Linked DNA regions of Danio rerio. The protein of the gene in region 3 purifies or fractionates together with the protein of the main gene of each other region. This does not show direct contact. Links are inferred from orthologs where the notes say so. Each region holds a gene or a part of one and is shown on either strand. Other genes may lie near its edges.

Region 1 (3,655 bases), on a different chromosome or scaffold from region 3:
TCGCCTTTTATCTTCAGGCAAATACTGCAAGTCCACCGGCAAACCTGTAAAATACAGCCGAAATTTAAAAAGGGTAAAATACATCAATGTGTAAGATTGAATTGCAGAGTTACAACCAAGCAATGTTTGTCTGTGCAAAACTTTGTCATAATCCTATGTCCTGTGAATTAAAATTTTTGTTATTATCAATGTGTTAGTGTTAAGGATAGCTATTAGCTAGTTTGCTATAAAAGCTGTGACAAAATTAGCATTTAGAAGATATAAACATAGCTGGATCAATGATTTTTTAGACATCACCCCATGCTTTAGTTTCTCCTCAAATCTTCTGACCAATCGAATGCTCTCTAGTATCTGTCATGCCCCGCCCCCTTTAAGACACTTCTCATTTGCTTTTCATTTGACATGCTTGAGCTCAACCACTCTCACTGGCAGAGCTGTTATAAAACAAAACGCTATTGGCTGTTGTTGTTTTTTTAAGGGGGGAGGAGCTACTATATGTCCCGCCTACTCTTCATGTTTCGGTTGAGATTAAGTCAAACATTGAATACAAAATAAATCACATTTCAAAGCTTTAAATAGGAAAATTATCAACTATTTTTTTGGACATTTTTGAATGAAATGCTAATGGTCATATCCAAATCAACTCATTATGCTAAGCTAAGCTAAAAGTGACCCTGCTAGAACAAGAAATCTGCTGAATGGATTTAAAAACGATTTAACTCTAGGATACTTATAAATTCATTCATTTTCCTCTGCTTAGTCCCTTATTTATCAGGGGACGCCACAGTGGAATGAACCGCCAACTAATCCAGCATATGTTTTACACAGCAGATGCCCTTCCAGCTGCAACACAGTACTGGGAAACACCCATACACTACACCATACATTCAATTCCCCTATAGCGCATGTGTTTGGACTGTGGGGGAAACTGGAGCACCCAGAGGAAACGTTCACCAACAAGGGGAGAACATGCAAACTCCACACTGAAATGCCAACTAGCCCAGCTGGGACTCGAACCAGCGACCTTCTTGCTGTGAGGCGACAGTGCTAACCACTGCGCCATCATTCCCCCCTGAGACTTATAAAATGAGAATTTATTTTAAAATAAAGGTGGACTGTTCCTTTAAGGGATTGTTCAAATCTCAGAACGAGCAATAAAAACAAGGACCATTTGCCAATTATGCTGCGCACGCTAGTCCAAACATGCTGTAATAATATTAGTCTGAGGCTACAGCGATACAGGCTTCGCAAGCACTTCATAAAGGTCTCATAAGGTCACTTATTAACTAGGACGGTTCCTCTCTCTTTTCACAATGTGTTTTTCAAATGCTTTGGTCAGAGCAGCCTGGTGCAATAAGAGGAAAATATGTTATATATAAACTTCTCAAACAGCTTTTATGAAACCGCACGCTTTTAACAAAAATCTCTGGCTTCGCAAATTCACAACTTCCTGCTGTAATGGCAGAATTTCCACTCTGCTCGGTCCATTTTCCCTTCACATGCTGTGGAAATACAATAAAGCTTCAAGCTGAAGCACAACTAAATGAGCAAACAGCGGCATCTACTGGATAAACCAGAGTGAAGCAGAAGACTCAGTGGTTAGCACTGTCGCCTCACAGCAAGACGGTCGCTGGTTCGAGTCCCAGCTGGGCCGGTTGGCATTTCAGTGTGGAGTTTGCATGTTCTCCCCGTGTTGTTGTGGGTTTCCTCTGAGTGCTCCGGTTTCCCCCACAGTCCAAACACATGCAATATAGGGCAGTGGTTCTCAAAGTGGGGGTCGCGTAACAATGACAAGGGGTCGCTTGGTGATTTCCAAATAGTTTAATAAAACTTATTTGAGTTTTGGATGACCATATTTTACTCATAACCCACAGAGGATAATAGTAGTGTTAAATACACAACAACATACAAATAAACAAAAACAAAATTATTATTATATTATTATTATTATCTATTATAAACAAATAAAAATCAGTCATCAGCCTTTACGTTTTATATTATAAATTAATAAATGAATATAAAAAATATATATGGTTAATAGACTGTTGCATTTATGTGTTGTCAATGTGCTCATGTTTATACATGCCTATAGTTGTGTCTACAAGGTTTATATATTTACAGTGTAACCACCTTGAAAAATGGGGGTCGCGAATCACTGATATTGTTATTTTGGGGGTCGCGGGCTGAAAAGTTTGGGAACCCCTGCTATAGGGGGATTGATGAACTAAATTGGCCATAGTGTATGAGTGTGTGAATGGGTGTTTCCCAGTACTGGGTTGCAGCTGGAAGGTCATTCGCTGTGTAAAACATATGCCGGAATAGTTGGCGGTTCATTACGCTGTGGTGACCCCTGATAAATAAAAGACTAGGATGAAGGAAAATGAATGAATGAATAAATGATTATGTCCATTTGTTTCTGTCTTAAGTTTCTGGTTAAAAAAAAAGGAAAAGGAACAAAACTAAATTACCCTTGCTTCTGAATACCTGCACTGTAATGTACATCGTTTCATCAAAAACACTATTAAAAATAATAATAATATATTTTTTTTAAAGCGTCACCTTCATTCTCCTCCTCTGAGAGCTCCTCTGGTCCAGCCAATGGCAATAAAAGGAACGGTAAAATATCGACAGCATCGCTGAGCAGCCACTCATGATGGACTGTAAAGATAATACATCATATTTGATTAGAATTTTTGCTGCACAATATATCGTTTTGGGCACTAGAGATTATAAAGTTTGGTGAATGAACACATGTACCATAGTCAAAACAGCAGTTTCTGAGTGTTCCCACCACCCCTCCTCGTCTGGTGATGGACTCCTCATACTGTGTGAACGGCAGGAGTCTCTGAATCACACACCTGCACACACACACACGAGACTATCAACTTTCACCGGCTTAGATACACTCGTAGACTGTAAAAAAAAAAAAAGTAAATAATCTGTAATAAATTCATCCCATGATTATAATACCATCTTTTTGGGTATGTACTACATAAAAGTCATGTTTTTGACCCACCCCTACTGAAAAAACAGCCCAAACCAGCCTAGGCTGGTTGGCTGGTTTAAGCTGGTCGACCAGGCTGGTTTTAGAGGGGTTTTGGCCACTTCCAGGCTGGTTTCCAGCCATTTCCAGCCTGGTCTTAGCTGGTCAGGCTGGGAGTTGACCAGCTAAAACCAGCTTGACCAGTCTAGCCAGGCAGGGAGCCCAGCCAAAACCAGCTATTTCCAGCTTAAACCAGCCATTTCTAGGTCTTAGATGGCCAGGCTGGAAAATTACCAGCTAAACCCAGCTTGACCATCTAAGACCTAGAAATGGCTGGAAACCAACCAGGAAGTGACCAAAATCCCTCTAAAACCAGGCTGGTCAACCAGCTAAAACCAGCCAACCAGCTCAGGCTGTATAAGCTGTTTTTTTCAGTAGGGACACCATGATTTTTTGTTTTCTTTATGGACCTATACCATGATAATACTATGCTTTTTGATATTTATTATTGTAATATCATAATTTTTATTACACTTCTTAAAATACCATGTTTTTGGGCATGTACAACTAAAAGTCATGGTTTTAACACCATGGCATTTTGTTTGCTTTATGGTCCTATACCATGACAATATCCTGCTTTTGATGTAGTAATTGGTCAAACGCATGGTATAA
Region 2 (3,655 bases), on a different chromosome or scaffold from region 3:
TCGGGGAATATATCGTTAGATATAGATAACAAGATGAAATAAATGTCACGTTTAACAAATATAGTGAGATTGGATCCAGCGGTAGATCCTTGATGAAGATCTGCCCCCTTCAAGACACTTGTCAATTGATCTCAACAAATAACTACAAAACACCAACGAAATGCTATTGGCTGTTTTTAAAGGAGAGGAGCTACTCTGTCCCACCCTGTTTTCATTTTTCAGTTGAGATTACGTCAAACATTGAATAAAATATGCACATTTTAAAGCACTTCACTAGACTTTTAAGCCTCAAAAATTGCACTTTAAAATTGCACACAAACAATACTAGTATTTTTTCAAAATAACAAGAAAAATATTATGATAAAAGAACTATCGTATTTAAAAATGTGTGGCAAATATCTTCTCTCCATTATACAGCACCAAGGACATATTTGAAAAAGACTTTAAATTTCATAATTTTATGAAACTGTTTATTCCACCTTTCCCCTCCCCAGCACTTACCTCACTCTTGCTGTAACGGTTATTAAAGTGCTATCCATTCAACAAACTCTTGATTGCTTTGACTTTCGAATATGCAAGCACATAGACTGTGTGAAAATGTCCTTACCATGACATCCCTGTTGCATTAGTCTCAAGTAAGCACCCAGTTTAACTTGATTGTTTGATTGCAGCTTATATAGATAGGCTGTAGTATCAAAGTAAAAATAAAAAAACTGTTTATGCTAGGCTACGGTGCAATTACACATTAGTAGTCTGTCATTTATGGTATGGCTATTTTTGTTTCCCTGTTAACATACTGGCACAACTCTCAAGTATTATTGCTAAATAATAACTTCAAAGTAATTTACAGACGTCAGTCAATTTAAAATGTAATTAAATTCTTGAATAAATTTGAAGACCTTCCCCTTCACACTCTGTTTCAAGGGCAAAGGGTTAGCGGAAGGGGTACATGCCAGCTGTGCTGTCAATTTATAAGTTTTGCTACGGTTACGCCATCCATCCACACTACACCAGAGTTTTTGAGCACCGAAAATGGAGCGATTTGGAAACACTGGAGAGGCCGTTTTCATTCTAAAACACTGCTGCTCCATCTCAGTGTGGATAGGGGGGAAATAGAGACATCTAAAAACGGAGCACATATACTGTGTGAAAATGTCCTTTCCATGACATCCCTGTTGCATTAGTCTCAACTAAGCACCCAGTTTAACTTGATTGTTTGATTGCAGCTTGTTTAGATAGGCTGTGGTATCAAACTGTTCATGTTAAGCTACGGTGCAATTACACCATAGTAGTCTGTCATTTATGGTTATGTTTGAATAAACCAAAAAAAAATAATAATAATGATAACTGATCCTGGGATGCATAATATAAGTACTACCTGTTAAAATTTTACTTTTAGTATATTTCAGTTTCTGGTCAATTTTAATTTCAGCGCATCCCTAGTTATTTTTGTAAAGGCTGAATCTAATATGCTGATTTAGTGCTTGGGAAACATTTCTGATTATTACCCATGTTGAAACAGCTGCTTAATATTTTGTAGCAACTGGGATACATTCGTTTTAAATAACTACTGATTGAATAATGCATCATCTCTGACCATCACACCATCGTATGATCTCTCCATAGCAGAAAGAGCGTGGGAATTCTGCATACAGACCTTGGCAGGAGCTCTCGCGGTGCAGGCAGTGGAGGATCTCCTGGTCATCTTTGGTCTGATAGCTGTACTCCTCCAGATACGCAGCTCTGTTTGAGGCATTCTGGGCCAACATGAGCTGAACATCTCCACACAGAGACAGACACTGGCAGTGGAAAAGAAGCACCTGTGCGTGGAGACCGCCACTAATGGAGCAGTATGCATCTGCAAAGGAACAAAGCATATACAAATCAGGTTTGAATGGTTTAGCTTTAAATAATCTGCTCACTTTTGAAAACATCATTTAAAGGAGTCATATTATACCTTTCTTACAAGCCTTAGGTGTCTTATGTGAAATTTCAGCTCAAAAATACATCGTGAATTATTCAAAATATCAGCCATTTTTTTGTGCGTCTCTTTAAATGCAAATGAGCTGCTACTCATGCCTCATTTTCATAACAGGGTGGAGCCTTTACAGTCTGTGCCTCAATTACTCAAGCTCAGGGTTGCCAAGTCCTCAGGTATCTCGTGGAATTGGGCACCGTTTAATTTGCCATAGGTTTGGTTTTGTTTTATGCGAGTTAAAACTGTGCATCAATTATATTTATATGGTTGCACTGAAATACATAACATTTCTATTCCACCAGAGATAAAAAAAAAAAAAAAACTGTGCCAGGATGGTAAAACTGAGTAAGTGCAATAGTTTACAGCAGTCTTTCTCAAACACGTTCCTGGAGGACCCACTACTACTGCATGTTTTGAATATCACCTTTGTCTATCACACCCATTACCGGTCTTTCCGTCTTTGCTAATGAGCTGAGGATCTAAATCAGATGTTTGGTTAATGTGACATAGAAAATGTGCAAAGCTGGTGGTCCTTCAGGAACGTGGTTGAGAAACAGGGTGCAGGAGATCTGGAGGAAAGACTAAGTAGGGCTATTTTTGTTTCCCTGTTAGCATACTGCAGGGCTCGAAATTGCGACCATTTTGGTCGCATATGCGCCCGAAATTTAAGCTATGCGACCTCATAATATATATTGGGAGCATTCGTGCGACTGCATATAATGGTTGTAGTGCGACCTGTTTTGTTTTGTTTTCTAAAAACGTGCTGAATCGCTCTTCCCTGCCGCTATATTGGTTCATATTAGCTGTCAATCAGTCAAGACTTTCCGCTGTCAGATGACAGGGAGGGAGCTTTTGTGATCGCGGGGAATGCAAACGGCTGAACAGTGAAAAGTACACTGAATCTGGATGCGTTGCATGCACTGCGTGGTCAGCCAACACAATCTCACGGCAATTCGTAACTTTTTCATACGTTTCCTCGTGAGATCAGGCTGCAATAGCGCAAATGTCCGCTAAAACACCATCTCCAAAGAAGCTTGCCTTTACTGAGTTTAAACTGATGCGGGTTATAACAAAAAACAGTATAGCGCCGGTGTTCATCGGGAGAATCCTGCTCTGCCCTCCTCATATTGGGCCGGCTGACTCGCATGCTTCTCCGCAAACACAGAAAAATGTAATTCAGCGCGTAACGAAGCTGAGCATTAAAACGACACAAACCGAAACCAAAACTTTTAAAAGTGAGACTTTTCTTGCTATCTTTTGTCTGTTCTTTCTTGAGGTGTATATTATTTTTCTATTTAATTGCTGATGACTGCTTTGCAGCTTTCAGTATTGGATTGAATGATTTATTATATTATTTTGTTTGTTTTGTAGCAGAACTATTATTTATTAAATTGACATGCATATAAAAACAATAGTACAAAACAAATATTTCTTACTACAATGCTTCATTTGTGTTTGATGCAAACCATCAATTTATTTTTCATAAAGTAACAGCAGGACTTTATATAGCATAACTTACATTAAAGCACATTCAAGGCAGCATGATGATGAGAAATATAATTCATTATTAGTATTATTGTCATCATCGTCATCATTAATATTTTATAATTATACAACATTCATTTTGGAATTATTGCACAAATATTAAGTCATCACAGCATTAGTTAGATAGTTGTT
Region 3 (4,377 bases):
GATTGATAGCTCCCTATCAAGTGTGTGTCCTGCCACCTAAAAAGGGAAGTAAAGCACATGAAGCCACACTGAAGGCTGAGGAACTGGCTCAAAGCTTGGGAAATAGTCTTCCAAATTTGAAAGGTGAGGTGGTACTGGATGACAGGACTCAAATGACCATTGGGAAACGACTGAAGGATGCTAAAATTCTGGGGTATCCATTTGTGGTGGTGGTGGGCCAGACGGCTCTAGATGATCTGGCCAGCTTTGAGGTGGTTTGTCAGCAAAGTGGAGAGACTCTCTTTTTGAGTAAAGATGGGCTTGTTGATCTTTTAAGTACGGTTGAAACTATCTAATATATGTGTACATTTATCAGGCTAGGTGATGGTGAAGAGAAAAAGAGTGTGATGTATAAATATTATAAGTGTTATAACAAGAAAATGTTGATTATTAAAGTGGTCTGTTTGTAACAATTTTGTAATGTGTTCTTGCTTCTGTAGAGCAATTAAGATTCATAGTGGAATTTATTGTTATTTAAAGCACTGGTAAGTGATAAAAGAAAAAAGGCCATGAAGACTATGAACAATGGCAATGATTGCCCAAGATTGTCAGTGCAAACTTGCTTTAAAAAAAACCTGCCCGAAAACCTGATAGATGATGTAATTTGCTCATTAGCATAATCATAACTTTGTCTAATATTTGTCATATATTATTGTTTCTAAAGGAAAATTAAAGCTTTTTACCTGCAGGGAGGACATTGCTAGATATTATATTTTTAATAAGGAACTAAAGGTTATCTAAAAAAGCTTAAAAAAATTATAATGATAATAAAAAATAAAATAAAAAAACATGATTCAAAAAATGCGACTGAAATGGTAAGATTCACCAAAAATATTTATGCCTATTTTTTATTTTTTATTTTTTATTTATTTCTGTAGGAAACATGCAACATTTAATCTTCATTCATTCATTTTCATTTTGGTTTAGTCCCTTTATTCATCAGGAGTTGCCACATCGGAGTGAACCAACTTATAATCAGTGTGAGTTTAATATAATCTGCATAAAACTTGGTGTGTTCTCTTTTACAGGTGTGCTTCTTATTAATATAATTTAAAAAAATAATAATTAGTTGGCTCTGATTTTGATAGCCAGAAAATAGGTGAATACATGTTTATTTAAATTAATATTTGATGCGGTAAAACCACATCAGTTTCTATTATTCAGTTACTATATCAGGGTTTCTATAATTTAAATATTTAATTGTCAGTTCCCACAAATTTTCAAAAAGTTTAATTTTTTAAACTTCTTTTCTGACAGACATTCTTTTTTCTTTAATCATTTATTACTGTTTAAATTATTAAAGCTTAACTATCAGCAATTAATTAGGGACACTCAAAATCAAGAAAAATGCTAATTTATTTATTAATGCTTATTTATTTCAATTTTGTTACTGTATTGCTTTTCAGTTTTTGACTCCATACCAGCAGGTGGCGGTAACGCGTTATTGACGTGTGGAGAGCAGCAGAGAAACAGATGTTTGCTGAGAGCATGTGGATCTTTGCTACGGTTTGTACAGTTTTATCCTATTTTACGTTTAATGTTTAGTTCCTCTACAATTGCGATCTGAACGCGGTGACGTAGTGAGATACGTCAAGAACTACCTGGGATACACTTCAGAATAAATTTAAGGAGATAACATGGCTGCACCAACGCAAGGGGAAGACAGCGACGATGGCATGGACGAATTTATGGAGAAGTTTAAAACACAGAAATACCATAATGCGTTCAACGAAAGCAACTGGGAGGAGGTAAGACTTGCTGATTAGTTATAACAACACACTGACATTATCGTGTCATAATCGGTGAATATATTTTGACGTTAACGTGGTTAAAGCAGTAACATTGTATTTTATTATCAAATAGTCATGTATCCGATGTGTAAATAACCTTCTTAAATATTGCAGGAGTTTGAAAAAGTTCCCATGTTCATGAAGACAGCGCCAGAAAACATTGACCCAGAGAAACACCCTGATCTCGCCTGTATCCAGCATATTATCCACGATGATGACAGAACTCCTGAAGGTAACTGGAGCTTCTTCTGTTTTCCAATATTAATGAGTTCTTTATGGAAGAAATTACATGTCATGGTAGTTGACAAATAGGGATTTTTTTTTTTAATTAAAACCCTATTTTTGAAGATTAAATAGTTATGTTGTCTGTTTAAGAAAACTGTGGTCACAAACTCTTATCAGTTCTTTTAGTTTTTTTTTTTTTTCTTTACTGTTCTGTAAATAATTTCTGTAGGGGGACATAGCATAGTAAAGAAAAATAGCTCTTAATAATAATATACAAATAGTGTGAGAGTGATTTAACTTCACTGTTGGATACTTCTCTTCATATTGTGCACAGGACAACAAAATTAATTTTATAGTCATTCCAAAAATTCTGAGGCAAAAACTTTATGGGCTTTACTGGTGGCTTCACACATGACATTGAATAGGGTGATTCAACTAATTAAAGTTTTCTGTGTATTTACCTGATTTAAAATTCAGGTACAAATACAGCATTCAGTGTCACACTAGAGGATGTGAATTTCAGTAACAGAATGTATGTTTTTAGAATTATATGGAAGAAAAAAAATATTGTCATTTACAAAAATAACCACTTGAAAAATATAAATATAATATATATTATTTTATTTTATACAATATAATTGAACCTTTTCATTTATTCTAGAGAAAGCCAGAAGTCTCAAGGATGAGGGGAATGAATACTTCAAGGAGAAGAAGTACAAGAAAGCTGTTGTTTCCTACACAGAAGGATTGAAAACGAGCTGTGTGAATCCTGAACTCAATGCCGTTTTGTACACCAACCGTGCAGCTGCACATTTCCATTTAGGTAAAGTCAGTTTTCCCCTCACACATTTTGTATTATGTAGAATAATTTAGTTTTTCCTTCTGGTTTAATAACCTGATTCCTTTAGGAAATATGCGTTCGGCTTTAAATGATGCCACAGCTGCAAAAAAATTGAAGCCAGACCACAATAAAGCCATTATAAGAGGTGAGTTGTGTATATTTGTTTGTTTCAAGAAGAAAATAGCAAGTAGTTGTTTCTGATATTACATTATTTTGTGTAAAGAAAAAATGTGAATGTGCGAAGAGTCACTAAATCCAGCAGATAAGGTCTCTAGTAGTTTTCATCGTAAGTGGTTACCAAATTTCAAATGAGTGTGATCAGTAAATATACTCCACATGAAAAACATCTCAGGTTAAATGTTGTAAGATGAGTTTTAGTTTACTTTTTGTGAGAGAGAGTTGTACCATTTTGCTCACATGCAAAGGTAGTTCCTTGTGTTTTTTCCTTGCCTTTTTATTCACCTTATTCTCCACCTACTAGCCGGCGCAGCCATTTGAATCTTTTTTTGCTCAAGACTTCCAGTCTCATTCACTTCCATTCATTTTTAGACATTAAAAACAGCTCGTTTGGCTGCTTGATGTTGCAAACTGATTTTTTCTTAATATATTAATCTATTTTATCTGTATATTAGTCTTGCATATACTTGTTTGTTGAGCAAGTAGTTTGACAATTTTTTGCCGTTTTTTTTTATTAATTTCTCCTATTTGCATCTCAATCGGACGTTCTAAAACAATCACAAAAACTAGCACACTTCCACCACTTGCTTTTATAGTTTTGAGTGCATTCTATTATATAGAATCTTGTTGTTTATCATGTATTATTTCAAAAATGATTATCAATGCATTATTTTGTGTAAAAAAATAAATAATGCACACAAAGTGTATAATGTTTATCTATCATTTTGACATGTTTTTGTATGTAGGAGCACAGTGCTTGCTGGAGCTGCGTAATTACGCTGGAGCGTTACAGTGGTGTGATGAAGGTCTAAAGTTGTTTCCCACTGACAAGAAACTACAGGAGCTGAGAGCCACAGCTGATAAACAGAAGGTAGAAATTTAAAGGGATAGTTCAAAATGAAAACTGTCTTTTACTCAGTCATTAGAGTTTCTTTATGTTGTTGAACACAAAATATGTTTAAAGGGATAGTATTTCTTTTAAAGGGATAGTTTATAAAAAGAATCATTTCAGTTTGATCAAATTTACTCACTCGCAGGGATGTGATGACATTTTTTAAAAAAAGGGTTACGATTTGTCGTGGCCGAGTGTTAAACATCCATGCTTTATTCATTATTTTGTTGCCTTGTAATATAATTTAATATACATTACTTCATTGTCTGATTATGTAATAAAACAGGTGAATAACTTGTTTAATCCAGATATTTTAAACAAACTTTTTGAAAATTAAAATGAGGGAAAAAAGGACTTCTGTTTGCTAAGGTATAAATGATAATAATGTCGAAAAATAATAATAAGAGAAACTA

Evidence for each region.
Region 1: the proteins of ttc4 (region 3) and hgh1 purify together in Homo sapiens (co-immunoprecipitation; 4 studies listed by BioGRID and IntAct, counting the BioPlex papers as one, with this or other methods). This does not show direct contact. The link is inferred for Danio rerio from reciprocal best matches to the Homo sapiens genes TTC4 and HGH1.
Region 2: the proteins of ttc4 (region 3) and edrf1 purify together in Homo sapiens (affinity purification with mass spectrometry; 3 studies listed by BioGRID and IntAct, counting the BioPlex papers as one, with this or other methods). This does not show direct contact. The link is inferred for Danio rerio from reciprocal best matches to the Homo sapiens genes TTC4 and EDRF1.

Annotation. Positions count from the first base shown.
Region 1 is NC_133194.1:3,293,631-3,297,285, reverse strand, and holds part of hgh1 (protein HGH1 homolog), read right to left. Parts: intron 2,859-3,655; coding exon 2,758-2,858; intron 2,659-2,757; coding exon 2,560-2,658; intron 45-2,559; coding exon 1-44.
Region 2 is NC_133192.1:9,925,835-9,929,489, reverse strand, and holds part of edrf1 (erythroid differentiation-related factor 1), read right to left. Parts: intron 1,859-3,655; coding exon 1,658-1,858; intron 1-1,657. UniProt on the Homo sapiens protein: Transcription factor involved in erythroid differentiation. Involved in transcriptional activation of the globin gene.
Region 3 is NC_133181.1:33,194,910-33,199,286, reverse strand, and holds the start of ttc4 (tetratricopeptide repeat protein 4), read left to right. Parts: upstream 1-1,482; 5' UTR 1,483-1,676; coding exon 1,677-1,787; intron 1,788-1,943; coding exon 1,944-2,061; intron 2,062-2,715; coding exon 2,716-2,877; intron 2,878-2,962; coding exon 2,963-3,040; intron 3,041-3,818; coding exon 3,819-3,943; intron 3,944-4,377. Other genes in the region: pars2 (probable proline--tRNA ligase, mitochondrial), read left to right, coding at 1-335.